3 linked regions of the Schizosaccharomyces pombe genome follow. Each later gene encodes a partner of the first gene's protein in a complex. Each region holds a gene or a part of one and is shown on either strand. Other genes may lie near its edges. The genes, in order: mrp21, sws2 and bot1.

The links.
Region 2: mrp21 (region 1) and sws2 share a complex: the UniProt entries of both Schizosaccharomyces pombe proteins name them as parts of the mitochondrial small ribosomal subunit.
Region 3: mrp21 (region 1) and bot1 share a complex: the UniProt entries of both Schizosaccharomyces pombe proteins name them as parts of the mitochondrial small ribosomal subunit.

The regions. Positions count from the first base shown.
Region 1 is NC_003423.3:615,332-621,454, reverse strand, and holds mrp21 (mitochondrial 37S ribosomal protein bS21m), read left to right. Parts: upstream 1-3,281; 5' UTR 3,282-3,316; coding exon 3,317-3,392; intron 3,393-3,486; coding exon 3,487-3,776; 3' UTR 3,777-4,264; downstream 4,265-6,123. Other genes in the region: ER uridine diphosphate-glucose transmembrane transporter Hut1, read left to right, coding at 1-820; U1 snRNP-associated protein Usp107, read right to left, coding at 916-1,146, 1,196-3,033, 3,083-3,101; its8 (pig-N family GPI synthesis protein), read left to right, coding at 4,989-5,139, 5,292-6,123. UniProt on the Schizosaccharomyces pombe protein: Component of the mitochondrial ribosome (mitoribosome), a dedicated translation machinery responsible for the synthesis of mitochondrial genome-encoded proteins, including at least some of the essential transmembrane subunits of the mitochondrial respiratory chain.
Region 2 is NC_003421.2:981,784-988,173, reverse strand, and holds the start of sws2 (mitochondrial 37S ribosomal protein uS13m), read left to right. Parts: upstream 1-3,019; 5' UTR 3,020-3,182; coding exon 3,183-3,463; exon of another isoform or gene 3,464-3,533; coding exon 3,534-3,708; 3' UTR 3,709-3,930; coding exon of another isoform or gene 3,931-6,390. Other genes in the region: P-factor pheromone Map2, read left to right, coding at 1,490-2,095; vid21 (NuA4 histone acetyltransferase complex scaffold subunit Vid21/Eaf1), read right to left, coding at 3,931-6,390. UniProt on the Schizosaccharomyces pombe protein: Component of the mitochondrial ribosome (mitoribosome), a dedicated translation machinery responsible for the synthesis of mitochondrial genome-encoded proteins, including at least some of the essential transmembrane subunits of the mitochondrial respiratory chain.
Region 3 is NC_003423.3:2,230,639-2,237,028, reverse strand, and holds bot1 (mitochondrial ribosomal protein subunit S45), read left to right. Parts: upstream 1-3,906; 5' UTR 3,907-3,917; coding exon 3,918-4,865; 3' UTR 4,866-5,246; coding exon of another isoform or gene 5,247-5,423; 3' UTR 5,424-5,486; downstream 5,487-6,390. Other genes in the region: TPR repeat-containing protein Oca3, read left to right, coding at 39-237, 315-503; SAGA complex subunit Spt8, read left to right, coding at 1,319-1,373, 1,421-2,946; SPOM_SPBC14C8.15 (triglyceride lipase-cholesterol esterase), read right to left, coding at 5,247-5,423, 5,487-6,390. UniProt on the Schizosaccharomyces pombe protein: Component of the mitochondrial ribosome (mitoribosome), a dedicated translation machinery responsible for the synthesis of mitochondrial genome-encoded proteins, including at least some of the essential transmembrane subunits of the mitochondrial respiratory chain.

The sequences.
Region 1 (6,123 bases):
CTTCATGACAGTCCTTTGTGGGTTGCTTTGGAACTGGTTTCATGGTGTTTCTGCTAGAGGCTTGCTAGAGCCTAAGTTTTTAGGATACTTTTCTAGTATTGCCATATCGGCTAGCTTAAGTTCTTACTTTGGATATGCAAGCATGTTTCATTTGTCTTATCCTACTGTTATTCTGGGAAAATCATGCAAGTTACTTCCAGTTATTGCTTTACATGTGTTCGTTTACAAACGAAAGTTTCCTCCTCACAAATACCTGATTGTTACAATGATTACAGCAGGTGTAAGTATCTTTAGTTATTTTCAAAACACTTCTTCCAAAGGTAAACATGCTGAGCATGATAGTCCTATTGGCTTACTGCTTTTATTTTTTAATTTGCTCATGGACGGAATTACTAATACTACTCAAGACAAGGTTTTTGGTAAATACAAATTATCAAGCGTTACCATGATGATTGCGGTCAACTTGGGTATCGCATGTTTAAATGGCCTGTATTTAATCTCTCCTTTTTGCAACCAGCAGCCTTTGTCTTTTATAAACAGACATCCAAGCATCCTTAAAGACATGTTGTTGTTTGCTTGCACAGGTTCTGTCGGTCAATTATTCATTTTCTTCACCCTTGAAAAATTTGGAAGCATAACGCTCGTTACCATTACACTTACAAGAAAAATTTTCACCATGCTTCTTAGTGTTTTTCATTTTCATCACACTGTATCTTCGATTCAGTGGCTTGGTATTTTATTGGTCTTTTTGGGAATCTCCCTAGAAGCCGGCCTCAAAATACTAAACAACAATTCTACTGCGAAAAAAAAGGCATCATAGGTTTGCCTTTATTTTTTTAAAAAAATTTCTTATAAATACATATTACAAACTTTTAATCGTCACCATTAAATAAAAACTTTACCCAAATATGTACGTTATGCTTCAGAACGTAAAATCAGTAGTACATGCAAGTATCGGTATACTTTGCTAACAAACTCTGGAGCATCTTCAGCGAGAGCAAGGTCCAATTCAGACACTAACTGTTCCGCACCTTTATGTTGCCTGATATGATCAATGGTAAATGTGATAAGTGAATCCTCTTGAATACCGATATACTCGATAATTTTCTTGGTAACAAAAGCTTGCATTTCTTCTTTTAGAAGATCCTATAATGTGTTAGTTTAGATACATATAAAAGTTGAAAAAATCACAAACCTCAGTAACCTTGCTCCAGTCAATTGGTAGTGCCCACAGACTTTCTGCTTCAACAGGTATCTTTTCAATAAGTGAACGAAGTCTTTTCGTCTTCTCGGCATCATTTTCTTCCATAGCAGGCTTTGGTTTTTGAGGGTTGGGAGAATAGCCTTGCGGTTCTTCGTCTTCTTCTTCCAAAAGCAGTCTCTCCGGAAGTCCAAATTCTCGTCTTTCAGAAGGAACAGCTGGTTTCTTGGTTTGTATTTTGATTTTGAAGGGACCATTTTCATGTTGAGGCATTTCACTAGTCACCAGCTTACCATTTTCGACATAATTCTCTGTCTCAACGGTTGCACCTTCTCCACGGGTACGTAGTTCTCTTTCTTCCTCCTTTCTGTCAAGAGCATCTGCGTCTTCTTCTCGAGCACGAGCAACTGCACGATGTCTAATCCAAGCAGCACGATCGACAAAATATTCGTCTCGAGATACGCGAGCTTCCTCATCGTCATCAAAAGAAGCTAATTTTTCCGAAAGATAAGTACCAAAGGAAGTGTTATTAACACGTTCTTCTTCTTCACGAGCAGCTTCTCGTTCTAAAGCTGCAGTTCGGGCCTTTTCACGATTCATCCAGCGCCGTTCCCTTGCGTAATACTCTTCAGCCTCCAATTGATCCTTCCTTCTCTTCTCTTCATAATAAGCTTGTTCATCGGAGAACGACTCGGGAATGCTATCTTCTGCTCTTAAAAAGGCATTGACTGTAGACATAGGGATACGTGAAATACGATGTTTTGACAAAAGGTTTTGTAAATCATCATTTTGCTTTCGAAGCTTTTCTTGTTCTTTTCGTGTATACTCTTTATATAAACTGGCATACTCGTCCTTAGACCTTTGTTTTTCTCGTTTTTTCATAGCAGATTGATCGCGAAAGGATCGTATTTCTTCTTCAATAACCGGTAATAATTCAGGATTAATTCCTTCTAAATCAGCAGCATTAATGGGAATTTCCGAAGTTTTGACATTTTGTAGTAATTTTTCGTTTTTCTCTCGGGCCTGTCGAGCTGCCCTTTCAATGCGAGAACGGACATCAAAATTGCCTATATCTTGACAAATTCTTTCGAGGTTAAAGCGAATTTGCTGTAAAATGTTTATCTCTTTCTGCTTATTTCTTGCATAACGACTCGTTTGCCATTCACGATACAATCCCTCATTCTCAACATCTGTAATCAATGACAAGCGAGTTGAAGGACCACCTTCGTACAAAGGTGGAACAACAAAATCATTTAATGCTTCTAATGCTCTACTGAATTGTTCATTTGATTCAAACTCTGCAAATCCAAACGAAGTCATCGAGTTATCTGCATCAGCAACCCTTCGCCAAGAAGCCAGCTTCCCGGACAATCGAAGAATTTTATCCATCCAAAAATCATCCAATTCTTTCGGTATATTACCAATAAAGAGCATCCGCCGCATTTGTTGACTATTTGGAGGGACAAACGGCCGCGATTCCCTTTCTGTTGTAGACTTCTCTGAAGAAGGTGTTTGAAACGTCTGTTTCTCCTGAATCTCATTACTTTTTTGATTTCGGGGTAAGTTTTTTCTATCTTTTTGTTGCGATTCATTATCTCTTAAAACTTGTTTTATGGGAAGTTTACCAAACTTCAGAATTGGCTGCGAAAAATCATAGGGACTACTTGCCTCAACAGGATTATCTACCAAAAAAGCGCCTTGGCCATACAATTTTTTGTATAAGCTCCTGTAATCAGGAGGTAAAGGGGCGAATACAGGTTGGATTGGGACGACATATGGAACGCCGTTGCCAACCATAGGAACCTGTGGCATCATTGGCATACCGGCAGCCTCTAAATAAAATTAGATAAATTCTTTAGCAATGAAATTGAAATTACTTACGCGTATTCTGCCGCTGCATAGTTGTTGGAGGAAAACAGATTCATGTGTATCATGTAAAGGTATATAGTGAAGTGTAAATGTGATTATCCTATTTTTAGTTTATGAATTTTATGTCTTTTACGCTAATGCAAAAAATCGATGTTCAAGGCAATTTAACGAATTCTTTATGCAGTTGTACTGCGGTGAGATTCAGGCTTCTCAAATTGCCAAGAAAACGCAAAATAACTATTTAAAATGAACAGTTCTTATTTCCCAGGTGTTCTAGGGGTCAGATGGGTACATACAAATAGGAAATTGCAAAAGAGAAAAGGTACGAAGAAAATCCATTGAAGTTGCTATTGTCTTTCAAGAATATGATTTTCGATTGTTGGATTATTGTCTGCTAATACTTTATTGATATTTAGAGGAGCATGGTGCGTTCCAAGATTCGCTTCATTTTATGATACCCGCAGCAGAAACAAAAGATTTAGGTGCAAGTGTGACAGTTGGAAATAGTCTAACAAGAGCATTTCGACAAGTTGATAGAATATGTCAAAGGAATAATGTGCCAAGGCTATTCCGTTCACAGAGATTTTATGAAAAACCATCCGAAAAGCGATCCCGCGTTCGTTCAGAAAGACACAGGGCAAGGTTCCGCGCTGGAATTGTTCGACTTGTAAACTTAGCAAAGAACATGCGTCGTTGGGGTTATTGAGTGATTCTTCGAACATTTCATTCTATTTCTTGGTTACGAAAATCCATATTAAATTAATGTATTTGGAGATCGTTGTTCTCATAGCTTTTCATTTAAGACGAGAATGCTCGAAAACCCCCTTTTGAAGTAAAATAATATATTGCTTTTTACTTCTCCGCGGATTTAAGAGCTAGACATTTTTGGGAAATATTCGTTTTTTGTTTTGTCATTTCTAAATTTTTCCTGGTATCTTTGCTTAACCCCTCCCCTATCTTATGATTTTCTACTTAACAGGATTTATTGTCTAATAACTGTCTCTACCTTCTTTTATCTTTTCAGTTTGACAATACTGCGAGATTGAGCTTAATGTTTGCATTACCCTCTAATATTACTATTCTGTTTTGCTAGCCTATAACAATTTTCTTAGTTAAATCGATGAGTTTGTTACTCTATTTATTCAAACTAATGCTGGTCGCAGGAAGTTATTACTTCTGCATGTTATAATAAATGAATTCGTTTCCTTTCGTATTGCAAATGATTTTTTTATTATTGGCCATGTAGCAGCAATTTGATGGTTGTATCCCTTTATCTTATTATAATCGTCATGAGTAAACCGACTCTCAACGTGTAACAACCAAATATGCTTACCGCTGAATTTTCATTAATCTTGGATTTGAGCAATGAAATGATAACCATCCATTTTACATTTCTGTCAACGGAAATTAAAATAATACCGAAAATATCCATTTACAGAATCATTTTTTGCTTAATTACCAGATGACTATAAGTCCCATTATTGTGCACTGCATACCATAAAGTAATTTATCACTTCCTTAATAGATTTCTGATTATTTACTCTTTCATCCAGCTAGAACTAATTACGCATATTGGCCATAGCTCACAATATACGATGGAGCGCTACCACTATTCATTAGTGCATTCAAACACGGCATCCTTAATTACAAAACTCAGTATACATTCATTAGCGTTCGCTTATTCATTAGATCGAGCGTAGATCATCTGAATTTTAACCAATGGTAGATTAAAGGGGACTTCTGTTGATGTTTGTAACGACTCAACACTCAAACGCACTTCACCAGAACAAAACACTTCTTGCCTTGTTTAGGGCATCCTTCTTTTCCAAGAAGCGTCCTGGCATCTATCCAATTTTTGCCAAAAACCCCTAGTATTCCCAGTCAATTGTGGTAGTGGTTTCACGCTTAAATTTTCGCAATGTTTGGTCGCCTCTTGCTGTTAGGGATTTTATTCCATGTCGTCTTTCTCAAATCCATTTTTGATATCTATTTCGTAACTCCTCTAATACATGGCATGAAGCAGTATTCTGCAGGCGAAGCTCCTGCTAAACGCCTATTTCTAATTGTTGGTAAGTAAACATTTGTAATAGTGAAATTAGTGTATAGAGCTTAATGAAAAAAATGTCATATTTTCGTTTTGGATTTAGAAAAAAAAACAAGAAATAGTACAACTTTTTTCTTGTCCTTCTTTTTCTTATTTTACTAACCAATATGCTTATAGGCGATGGACTACGTCCTGATAAACTATTACAACCACATTCCGAAAAGGTCATTGGAGAAGAGCAGACATATGCCGCTCCATTTTTAAGATCAATTATTCAGAATAACGGTACTTTCGGTGTTTCTCATACTCGTGTTCCCACCGAGTCACGCCCCGGACATGTTGCTCTAATAGCTGGTTTTTACGAAGATGTTTCAGCCGTCACAAAAGGCTGGAAAAAAAATCCAGTAAATTTCGATTCTGTGTTTAATCAGAGTCGGCATACTTATTCGTTTGGATCCGAAGATATTTTGCCTATGTTTAGTGAAGGTGCATCTGATCCATCTCGAGTTGATACATTCATGTATTCTTCTGAATTGGAGGATTTCTCTAGCAACGGAATTGTTCTTGACGAATGGGTTTTTGATAGGCTAGATGAACTTCTCGCTCAGTCTTTAGAGGATAAGGAACTTTGGGATATGTTGCATCGGGATAAAATAGTATTCTTCCTTCATTTACTGGGCATTGACACAATTGGCCATAATAAACACCCTGACTCAGTTGAATATGTCGAAAACATACAGTATATAGATGGAAAAATTCAAGAACTCGTTGATAAGATGAACAACTACTACAATAACGACGGAGCCTCTAGCTGGGTTTTTACAGCAGACCATGGTATGAGTGACTTTGGAAGTCATGGTGATGGCAACCTTGATAATACACGTACTCCCATCATTGCCTGGGGTGCTGGTATTCAAAGTCCTACTCATGAGAAGAATTATGGGCATGACGAGTATTCTTTGCCATGGAATTTGACGGAGATAAAACGTATTGATATACAACAAGCAGA
Region 2 (6,390 bases), on another chromosome or scaffold:
AGCATCCAACCTATAAATGAATATCTCTGTTGCATGTTTGCTATATTGAAAATGTCGCTAAGGAGTATCGAGATCCCAGATTAGAGAAGCGTTTACCATGAGTTACAGAATCCTTTTATTACACCAATTCTTAAATCATCTCCAGTCTATAGCCGCAAGTATTGCAAACGTTGGATTTTGCGATCAATGCTTTCCATTTAACGCGCTAAAGCAATTTAACAAATACAATGGTATAGCGCGAAGTCATAATAAAGGAGTAAAATTATATTAAACAGTTTATTAGTATAATGATATGGTTATATGACTTTAGAACGAAAGGAAGCATGTTAACGCCGAAAAGAATTAAAAAAGCTGTAAAGAAGCAGCAGTTTATTCGTTATTTTCACCAATCCTTTTACTAAAACCTTTTCGAAATGTACTCTTATTTTTTGAAGGTATAATGAAAAGGTGGGATTCTCGGAACTAGCACTACTATGGTTTTAGCAAGCCCTGATTCTCATGTTCGAGGGAAAAAAAGCACTAATGGTATCAAACAATTTCCTACTATCATATTACTATCCTTTCCTTGGAAATTAAATGCTAGCAACGGCAATCCTTTGTACTTTCTCCGTGCACAATATCTAGTACACCAAATACTGGCCCACTAGTCGGAGGGGAACGGGTATTTGTTTATTCTCCTCTTTTTTGCGTGCTCCATCTCCTTTGAAGCTCTATTTTAGTTGCTTTGCAGTATCTATATCTGCTACAAGTAGCCAGAGGCGTTCTATGCCTTCAATCTGAAGTTCATTTTTTCATTCTATGGCGGTATGCTATTGGTTGAGTACACACAAAGAACAATGGATAGAGTTTTATTGTTTACATTATCAAAAAACCTTTAACCAATAAAAAAAATAGCCGCTACCAGAAAAAAGTCGCTTAAAATTAATAAGTCTTTTGATTGGTCGCTGTACATAGAAGTTCATTTTGGGTGGACGACAAAAAAATAAGCGAATATCTTCAACCAATCAGGATAAACAGCGATAAAACGAAAACGGGGAAGTCATTAAAAAATGGCGGTTAATGTCAACAATGAACAGTTTGAAAGCATAGAATTCCAGATTTGAATTGAGGGAAACGGAGCACTACAAAGATGTATAAATACAGGCATTCTGTCCCAGAAGAAAACCAGAATTCGTTCAAGTCTTCTATTTTACATATTCACTCTTTCTATTTCTTATTCTTCACTCTACAAGAACTCGCGTTGGGTGTGAATTTACATCCCTCTTGTCAACAAACCTGCTCCGTTAGCTAATTTTCTGTAAATTTGCTTCGATCTTTCTTATTCTAATCTTTTAATCCTTTTTCTTTTGGAATTTTGCCTTTTTAAACTCTCCCTTTTTTTGAATCAGTCAACAAATTATAATTTTCTTCTTTTATTTGCTAGTTCATCGCTTAAACTATCTTTCTTTTTCTAACTTATCAACGAAATTTTATTTTTTTCACATACATTATGAAGATCACCGCTGTCATTGCCCTTTTATTCTCACTTGCTGCTGCCTCACCTATTCCAGTTGCCGATCCTGGTGTGGTTTCAGTTAGCAAGTCATATGCTGATTTCCTTCGTGTTTACCAAAGTTGGAACACTTTTGCTAATCCTGATAGACCCAACTTGAAAAAGCGCGAATTCGAAGCTGCTCCCGCAAAAACTTATGCTGATTTCCTTCGTGCTTATCAAAGTTGGAACACTTTTGTTAATCCTGACAGACCCAATTTGAAAAAGCGTGAGTTTGAAGCTGCCCCAGAGAAGAGTTATGCTGATTTCCTTCGTGCTTACCATAGTTGGAACACTTTTGTTAATCCTGACAGACCCAACTTGAAAAAGCGCGAATTCGAAGCTGCTCCCGCAAAAACTTATGCTGATTTCCTTCGTGCTTACCAAAGTTGGAACACTTTTGTTAATCCTGACAGACCCAACTTGAAAAAGCGCACTGAAGAAGATGAAGAGAATGAGGAAGAGGATGAAGAATACTATCGCTTTCTTCAGTTTTATATCATGACTGTCCCAGAGAATTCCACTATTACAGATGTCAATATTACTGCCAAATTTGAGAGCTAAACTCATTTTATCTTCATATTTTTTTTATTTTCTAGTATGTTAGCCCACACATCTTTACAAAGCCATGTGAAGCAATTTTTTAAATTAATTGCTATTTTCGATCTATTATTTTACCATACGATCTGTATTCCTATTCGCAATAATATTTTTAATTTTCATCTTAGTCTTCATATTGTAAAAAAAAAAAAAAAAAAAAAAAAAAAAAAAGAAAAAACGTATAGTAGTTACAATATTACTGAAATCTACAGTACTATACTTCTTTCAGTTGCTTTGTTTTTTAAAGTTAAATAAAACATCAATTTAAAAACTGACTATTAAACCACATGATTTGCGGATTGCTTAAGTAATAATAAAAATGAACACTACCAATTGTGTTAAGCGATAAAATTAGTCATATCCCATATAAGAAGAAAGCACTGAAGTTTCAATTGAAATGCGGAAAGCTACTGCTCATTTAAAATGCCTAGGACCTGCACAAGCATAGCAATGTAAAGGAGCTGCACTTGAAATATATATGACAGTTGAGATCCGCAAAGCATTGTTAGAATATATAAAATTTTATTCCAAAACTTTTTACTGTACTTCCGCATGTACTGTTGAACATTCAACTTTGTAAGAGACAGTAATGTCGTGAATATATTTTTCAATAATAAATTTTAAACTGAGACCATTGAACGAAGGGATCATTTGAGTTCATAAATTTTAAAATTTGAACAGAAAAGGAAGGCCTTTGACGATATCTCTTCTTTATTTGTTTTTCTTCGTCTTACCTTGCCCTATTTATGGTCTTCTTAAACATCAAATTACACCTTAGATAGTAGCTCTTTAATGATTACTCAAATTGTCTTTTATTACTAGGCCCGGAGTCTGTACAATCTAACTAGTTTTCTAAAAATATGAGAGATCCAACTGTGTATTATATCTAAACACCACCACTCCACTCTTTTACAAGAAAGCCTAATACTTATATTCAGAACGGTTTTAAGCTCTCTGATTACTGATAGAGAACTGAATTACAAAACCAAATTGTCCACTTCATTATTGAGCTGGTTTCTGTCTCATCTGTTGATATCTGAGATTTTGCATCATGGTATACATACTTGGAGTGGCTGTAAACGACGATAAACCTGTGCGGTTTGCTCTACTTTCTTTTTATGGAATTGGACATGCCAAGGCTGAAGAAATATGCGCAAAATTATCATTTCACAATACGTTAAGGGTTCGAGAGCTGACAAATGTTCAATTGACAACGTTGTCGCAACTGCTATCAGGAATGACTATTGAAGGTGACTTACGGCGTCAACGGAATGCTGATATCTCAAGATTGGTGAATATCCGATGCTATCGGGGAATGAGACATGTAAACGGGTATGAAAAGATCATTTGTGAACGTAGCTGTCTTCGACAACTTTTTCAACTTAACTAATGAATATTTCAGGTTACCCGTTAATGGACAGAACACTCGGACGAATGCAAAGACTGCTAAGAAGCTAAACAAAGTCCCACGACGAGGTTATATGACACTGTCGCCCGCTTCTACAAGGCCCATCACATGGAGTTTTTGTCTACCGAGAATGGTGTCTGTCTTTCAAAAATTAAAACATATTCATTAGCTAAAATAACGTTTATGAAATCAAACTTCACTTATCATGTACACTTCGTATTACCTCGATTTGCTTGATTCTGTTAAAAAACCAACAACCGGGATACGAAAATGAAAACGTATTCTATTTTTATTGTGTGAGAGAAAAAGCTCTCGCCTCGTAATTTCCTTCTAATATACAACAGCACTCAAAAAAAATACAATAAATCGAAAAATTGCATTGAGGCGATACTTACTGTGTCCTTTCAGTAGTAGGTACAGTTTGCTTCCTTTGCTGCAACTGATGAATTTGTTCAGGTGTTAGTTTTAAAGAACTGGAAACAGCGTATGGCTGAAGCCTGGGGACCATTCTACCAGCTATAGGCGAGACACCCGCTGATGAATTGTTACTACTATTTTGTGAAGCAGCTACAGCTTGAAAGGCTGCTAGTTGCTGGTTGTGTTGTTGTGCACCAGCAGCAACAGCGGCGTTTTGCGGCCGTAGAGCCCTGTTTTGTGATTGCAATTGTGCAAAGTTTCTCTGAGCCTGTATTTGCTGTATTTGTGCCTCACGCTCAGATTTCAAACGAGAAAGTTCGAGAGGGGAAGGAACCGGCGGCAATTTTTCAGTTGAAGCTGCAGATGGTGCAATCGCTCTCTTGGTCATAGTGGGTTTTTTAGCAAACTCTCTCTTTTTAAGGATCTTTCGTATAGCTTCAAATATAGTAATGGGTCGGTAATGTCTTGATACAGTTGGCAATAAGAAGTAAGAATTATGTTTAATCAAATGGTTAGGTGTTCCTTCATCCCGTAAGGATAGATGTTGGCTAACTTTATCCGAATGTCTTAAGGATTCATCTAATTTCTGCTGAGCGAGTCTTGCATGGGAGCCAGTCAATTGGACATTGGCGGCTCTGGGATCCACTTGAATCCATCTTTCAAAACAATCCCACGCAGTCCGCTTCTCGGCAAGCGGTATGTACAAACCTGGTGGTGTTAACCTACTGGCAACAAATTCCCAATTAAAGGAATATCGTCGCAAGAGTAATAAAAGGAGTTCATCTTCTTCGGGCAACCAAGGGGCTTCTGGACGAATATCTTTACTAGAAGGCGGATACGGAGGCCGCACACTAAAGGTTCCTACTGAGGATAGCTTCTGATTATCATCCTTAATTTTATTTCCATCTAGCTGGTTCTCATCGCTTCTCGCCTTCTTTTCCATAAACGACTCAGGTGGTGATAATTCCAATTGGTTGAACAAACGTTTCCTAGAAGCCTTTGCACAGGTGGATTTAAGCTTTGTTTTGGCATATGCAAAACGTGACACAGGAGTGATCGGGTACTTTTCAGATATTTCTTCACAATATTCATTGTTTTCAGTAGGAGGACCGTACATAGGAACGTTTAAAACGCAGTTCTGAATTTGTTCGGAGTTTGTTGTCACAAATATATCATCCGAAAAAACAGCATTATAAAACTGTAAAGAATCCCTGGGAATAGAGAGCACTTTGTTGTTATTATTATCATTTAGATTAAAATGGCTCACTATTTGTTCATTAAACGTTTCCTCGTGAGAGTCTTTCTGATGTTCATTCTCTTGCATGTACGGCTTCTTATTCTTTGACAACGAAGCCGGAGTACAAACAGTACATTTATCACTAGCTTGATGGTAATCCATTACCCAATTCGCCATTCTATGAGCCAATATAATTTTCCATTTACGCTCTTGAGAAAAATCAATTGACATCCATTGCATCTCATCCAAAACATAATCCCGATGAGTTTTCAATCGTGGCATCTCGTTTTGTCTTTTGGGCTGTCTAAAGGACCAAATACCTTTTTCTTTTGCAACCGTTAAATGATGTAGTGATTGTCGTACAATTTCCTCGCGATACGCATGAGACCAGTTATCTGATAGAACATATTTATGTGCATTTTTCAACCTTAAATGTAAAGGCGACATTTCTGTTCGAAGCAGCCATGCTTCTGAGGAAAGCTCTGGTTTCACCGGTTCAGAAAATTTTGAAGGAGGAATTAAAGTTAGTGGCATAGATACAGAAAGTTCAAAAAGCGGAGCTTCAACCCCAGTTCTGTCAATTGTAGGGGATTTTTCCGATGGTAACTTATTTTCCATTTGTAATTTACTAGGCTCAACAATTTCATCTACTGGCTTCTCGTTGACATCAACCGCTACTTCCTGAACAGGAGATTCAGTGGCCTTGTCAACGGAAATGATTTGTTGTTCCGAAGGAATCTCTTGATTATTTAATAATTGTATAGTTTTTTCAATATCAATACCTGATTGTACATTCTCAACATCATTTTCAGTGACCTTGGCTTCAGGAGAATGAACTTCTTCAACTTCATCAACCTTTGGGACTTTATCTTCAATTTCCAAAACTTCTGCAACAGTGACAGGGGGAGCCGTAGGTTCCGTTGTCTCTGATACCTCTTTCTTTTTCACTTCTTTAGACTCAACTTGATCAGTCGCAACCTCTACCGGTTTGGTAACGGTCACATTTTCTTCATTCCCATCTTCCTCATGTTCCTTTTCGGTAGCTTCAACCACTCTTAATTGCTTATCGACTCCTTCTTCTTGAGAGGATTTGTTTGCAAGTTCTTCGGTAAGCTGTCGAGCAGCATACTCGCTATCTGGCGTCAAAGGGCCTTTTTCCTCTTCAGCATGAGCAGTGGTTTCCACTTCTTTTACGGG
Region 3 (6,390 bases), 1.6 Mb from region 1:
AATTTCTGTTTATCTCTGAATTCTAATTGATTGTATAGGTTTGAAAGTGCTATATTTTGTTATGAAGAAATGGTGTTGCTTCAGCCTTTCGAGCCTCGACTTTTTGCTCGATTGGGAGATTTATATTTTGTTTTGGCTCAAAGTAATGCAACTAACTATTGGTTTTCGTTGAAGCATTATTGTCGCTCGGTTGAAATTTGCGAAGAGTATTTCCATGGTTGGTTCGGAATCTCAAAGGTAATTTATCCCTGCTTTTAACTTTATTTATTATTTCTTTGAATATAACAGGAATTTAATGATTAACAATTTAATAGTGTTGCCAACAATTACTAGAGTTATCAAGAACGGAACTGAAAAGATTATTAAGCAAAGTAAATGAAAAAATTTCCGATACATTCCCTGACACTGAATCTGTACGACAGCTCTATCAACTATCTTTAAAAAAGTCGGATCTCTTCGCTCAAAAGCAACCTAAGTTGAAGGCTTTATTGGAGCAATGCTAGAAGGGTATAGAATATGTGGTGTTTGTTTCTTTAGTTTTAACCAAAGTATTTGTTACTGGAAATTTACTCGATCTAATATAATAATTTGTGAAACTTGTTTATATCTTCTTCTTAATTGTAGAACTATGTGCGCGAAATTCTCGGTTTATCTTTTTGTCCTGAATTCTTTCGCCGTAAACTTTTATATAAACTTAAAGCCTTTTAATTTTAATTATATTTTACGGTCAATTTCAATATTTCTTTAGTTAAAAGTTACTAAATTTTTGACTGCTTGCAAGCCCCAGAGGTTATAAGTTTAATAGATCACTTACAAGTTTGTTAAAACACATATTCTAATACTTGATTTTTCAACATACCTGCCATAAGTATCAATCTTTTTGTTGTTTCTTAGTACGGGCGACGTGAAACCATAAAAGTAGTATACTGGGTGCTACGGCGAATAACAGAAATATGTTTCCAAAGAGAAAGTGCTTCCTATTTTTTCTATGAAAGTAGATTGATTATAAAAAACAAAGTTTACCTTGTCAAACTTCCCCATTCATTTACCTAATGTTCATTGCGGAATAGTGTTTTCTCTCGCTACTTATTTATCTTAAACGAAATAAGGATCGTTTAGTTGTACTCTAATGGTAACATTCAGTGAAACTTAAGACTTTATTAAAGCTTTTTATTGAGGTATAGCGTCTACGCTAAATATATTCAACGGTCTTAAACTTATAATTCCTTTTAATATCTCAGAGGGAACGTAAACAAAACATATTGTTGCTGCATTGCAGCATTTTAAGGTTACAACTCTTTTTGTGTATATTTTAAAGATGGAAGCAGAAGAGAGTGAGTCCTTTTCATATCCAATGTTGCTACCTTCTGACGGTTCGTTTTATAAACGAGATATCACTTCTTACTGACTTCAAATCTAGGACTTTATCCAGAAGACGATGATGATGCGGATATGGATCAGGATAAAAATCCTGAAGAAAATGTAATGAACGAAAAAGAAGATGAGGATGTAGACGCGGTTGATGAGAAGTCCGGTGAAGAAGACGTGGAGATGGATACAATGGAAGATGAAAACGAAAACGATGAAGATACTGAGCAAACCTCTGAAAAGAAGGAAACTGAAGAAACACCAAAGGAAAATCCACTTGAGAAATTAAAACAAAAGGCTTCAACGGCCAGCTTTTATGATGTGGTGCCTACCCTGGCAATCCCTATGGCTACCAGCATAAACGCATTTGCTTTCACATCGGATTTAAAATGGCTTTTCACTGGTGGGGAAGACGGATATATAAGGAAGTATGATTTTTTTCCTAGCATTAATGGTGATCTCTCCCTGACTGTTGCACAGAGACATCCCTTTGTGGATACAGTAACGAAGGCTGGAATATTACTCAACTACTGGGAGAATGCTTACGATGGAAATAAACCATCTTCGGTATATAGCCTTGCAGCTCATTCCAGAGGTCTTTGGGTTCTTTCGGGCGTCAATAATGGAGATATTATACTGTACTCTACAAGACATCAAGAGGGTTATCCCGTTACTTCTTTAAAAAAGCATACGGCTCCTGTTTCGTGTTTAGCATTACATGGTTCCGAGAAAAAAGTATTGAGTGGAAGCTGGGACAAAATGGTTTATTACTGGGACCTTAACACTGGTGATGCAATATCTACATACAATTGTGAGAGTGGTCAAATTTCGAATATAGTTTATCGTCCATCAGGCGCTGTAAATCCTTGGGGTTCTGAATCGGACGACATGCGTAGTTTGTTCGGTACACCTGCGTCTTCCTCTTCTTACGATGCACTGTTTGATGAAGAGGTGGAAAAAGCCATTGAAGAAGAAACTAAATCTGTTCAAGCAAATGAGGAGAACGAGACAGAAAAACCCTCTCAAACCGAATCTACTACTAACAATGACAACATAAAAGCTCCTTCCGAATCTTCATCCGAAGAGTCCAATATTTTCTTAACGACGTCTATAGATGGAGTTATGAATGTATGGGACCATCGCATGGTCGATTCTGTTCTCAAATACCCCGTCCCCAAGGGTGTACCACCATGGGCTATGTCTGCATGTTGGAGTCCGGATGGAAATAATATATATATTGGCCGCCGAAATGGAATCGTCGAAGAATATAACATTCACTCTGGCAAGGAGCCTGTTCGCTCTTTAAAAATGCCTCTCGATTCGGGTCCTGTTTCAAATGTCTATTCGATGCCGAATGGCCGTCACCTTGTAATTTCCTCCTTTGATAATATCCGCCTTTATGATCTTCAAAGCAAGGCCGGCATAGGGTTCTTAATTATTCCAGGTCATCATGGAGGTCTTGTCAGTTCGCTTTATGTAGACACTTCTTGTCAATTCATGTTTTCAGCTAGTGGAAATCGAGGATGGCAAGGAACTACTACTGAAGTGTTCCTCGGATACCAAATAATGACTTCATAAAATGCTTTCTCTAAAACACATATTCGCAATAATGTACATTATGATAATAGACTGAAAGGAAGTGGGTTACGATTTAGTCGGTCAAATACAAAATGGTCTTTGAAAGGCACTTTGGATTTTGCCTTAGTAGGGTCAATTATATGCCTATTGTCGTTTAACTTTAAAAATCTTTTTGAATTGTCTCCCTTTCAACATTTGAAATAAACATCTCAGTTAAAGTTTTTAGAATAATTGTTAAGCCCATGCACTCTTCATTAGTTGATTGCTTTTTGGGTTTTTGGTTACTCTCTAAATAATTTGAGGTAAGTTTATAAATGTTTCCTTAAACCTATTTCCCCTTTTTTGCCGAATATAATAAACTTAGGTATTAAGCTGAGATTGTTGGTTATGAACTTTCTGACAAATATGATACACAAATCGTTTTGTTTGTATAACATGTATTCTAAAACTTTCCTCTACTTTAATTTTCAATTTGGAATTTCCTAATCAATTTAATGCCATCCATCCGCTTTATTATTTGTTGATGTGTCAATTGCCAAACAAAAATATCAAGGACATGCGAAACTCTTGTCTAAAGAAGCAATGACCGTATTTAATGAATTTTTTTCGTTTGATTCTGTAGAAATTATGACTTAAATTGTGTATTTATTTTTTAAGTATTGATGTGTATAACTGTTCGTATCCTAATATTGGAACTGACTCTCAAACATTCTATAGAATAAACAAAATCTTACTTTATTGCATACTGAGAGTTATTGTCTCATAAATAAATCAAGCGTCTGTATGTTAATCGGATCTTATAATGGAGCTAGATTGCTTGACCGCCGGAGGTTAAATTTGAGTTTTCCTAAATCGTCTCATTAATTATTGGTTTTTTGAAGTTTATTTTCTATATCTATCTTGATGAATAGAATTAGGGCGTGTTACTAACTTTTGGGGAGTGACACAAGAAACCTTTCCAACGCACCTAAATGAGGAATTCAGTGGAATTCTCACAGTTAGGGCTTAAAACGGCTTTTAATTTATCTCAAAATAAAACTTATACCTCAGCAGTCAAGAAACAATTCTTTAGTACTGGAGCATTTTTAAGCAATGGGGGAAATATTGATTTAAATAAACACACTCAAAAGAACATTGATTCAAAGTACGTTGCTTGCAACTCAAGATCTGTAACACCCCCAAATGATGTTGCTTCTTCAGTTTCTAAGAATACACTTCGTCATAAACAACGTTTAATGATGGCTCAATGGTTAATGTCTCCCGAAGTACAGAAAGCAAAGTCCTCATCATCTGGTAATGTAGGCTTGGGACCTAATACAAATCAGCCCTTCCCTTTAAACCCTTTTTTTAAGCCTCCTAGGCCTATATCTCATTCTTTGCGTATGAAAATTACCGATGAATACTTGCAGGGTGCAAGTATAGAAGTGCTTGCTCGAAAATTCAACACATCTCCACAAAGGATTGAAGCTCTTATAAAGTTGAGAAGAATAAATGATGAATTCGAAGAAAAAAAGAAGCCGATTCTTCATAGTTATAATGAAGTTATGGAGAAAATGCTGAACGCATGTACTAAACCTGAGATGATGCAGTTTAATGACGGAAACGATATTCCTTTGCGTTCCAATCCAGTATCCCTTTGGAAGAGTTTGCCTGAGGGAGAAACGTTTACACCTCAAGAGGCTGCTAAAATCCTGAAGTGGCCTTCGATTGAGGAATTAAACATGAGACAAAACGCTACTCACTTCCACAAAACATCTGATGAGCACAAAGATTTGAATGAAGATGAAGAGCTAATTTCTTCAAGCCCCAGCGAAGTTGGGAAGCGTGTTTTTAGGCTCATTGATCTTTCTACTGGTAATGTGTATAGAAGGGATACCGGCGGGGATATTTATGTTAAGAGAAAAAAATCTACTACCTGAAAATCAAGCATTTATTTCCCGTTTTTGAAAGAAAATTTACCCCCTTAGCATGCATTAGCGGCAGTACAATCCATTTCAAACTTTTGCGAAATAAAATCTTGAATTGTTACAAATTCACTCAGCAAATTCTTCTAGTTGTTGCATTATCTAAAAGTTATTTGTACATATAAAAATTGCATAGTTTTTTTTGCTTTCGTTGCCATATTGACTTTTTCAAATTAAACAAAGAAACTTTTTTTAGCCGTTTAATACAAATACTGATAAGAAGGGTTGCACATACGATGAAACAGTCTATACAACACTGTGCTTCAGTTTGATTTAGAACAGAAACTTATCTAACATATTAAATATACATTGTGCCAGTTTCAGAAGCGATGAACACTATATTGTATGGTTCATAACGCCGTCAACCAATTCTGTGTCAAGTCCAAATTCTTCTTTTATGCTTTCAAAGTAATCTCCAGCAATGACATGATTTAGTTGTTCTACGACTTGCTGAATTACTATGTCCTTTTTCGTATCTCCCATGATGATGTCGAGATGCTCATAGTTAGGAATCTTTAATTTTAACTTGTTAGTTTCCACTTAAGTAAATGAAGCTACAACTGTTTCAGAACATACCTGAATGCATTGAGATAATGGTGGAAGTTGGGTCTTGAGTGTTTCAATGTCCACCATGTTATCGTTACTGCCATAAACTAAAGTAATAGGTAGACGTATATTTTCAATCGGATAGCGAGCAATTCGGTTAAGATTTGTATAGTAACTTGGCTTAAATCCTGGACTGTCATCGTACATTTGTAATACTTTGCGACGCGTAATTTGAGCCCAATGTACAAAGCATTTGACAGAAGTAAAGGAATATAGATGGGAGTATGCAACGATTTTCTGAGTTTCGGAAATATTTTTTCCGGTCCAGCTCAGAAAAAAGCGAAGAAACAGATCAACAATTTTTGCAAAAACTGGCGGATATAAAACTGCTTGCCAAAACACAGCAGAACCAAGCATGGAATTTCGACCGAACATTAGGTAAAGAAGTTGGCTATTAGCGTGAATAATAGATTTAACGGTTCTACCACTATACTTTTTAGGAGCAATTGCAGGAGCTAGAGCAATAAATGCTCGTACGGAATTGCGAAGTTCAGTATCAATAGACAGCGCTGCAAATGCTAATATAGCGCCCTGAGAAAATCCAACAAGGCTTATAGAATCAAAACTGTTAACGGACAGTATATATTTAACAATGGAAGGTATGTCAAAAATAGCGATACTATCAAGACTGAAATCCCAAAACTTTGGATTTTGAGAGCTGAATTTGATATTCTTTATACTATATTTGTTTCCTCGTAAGTTTCCAAGCCAAACATCGTATCCTTGTTCCACAAGAGCAAATGGAATGGCATCTTCCTTTTTCAAGTTGCAGACCCAACTTTCAGAGTTCATCATTAGCCCATGAATAAATAATACAGGTGGGAGATAATTTAACTCTTCAATTTTTCCTTTTTTCTTTTTATACACCCGATGC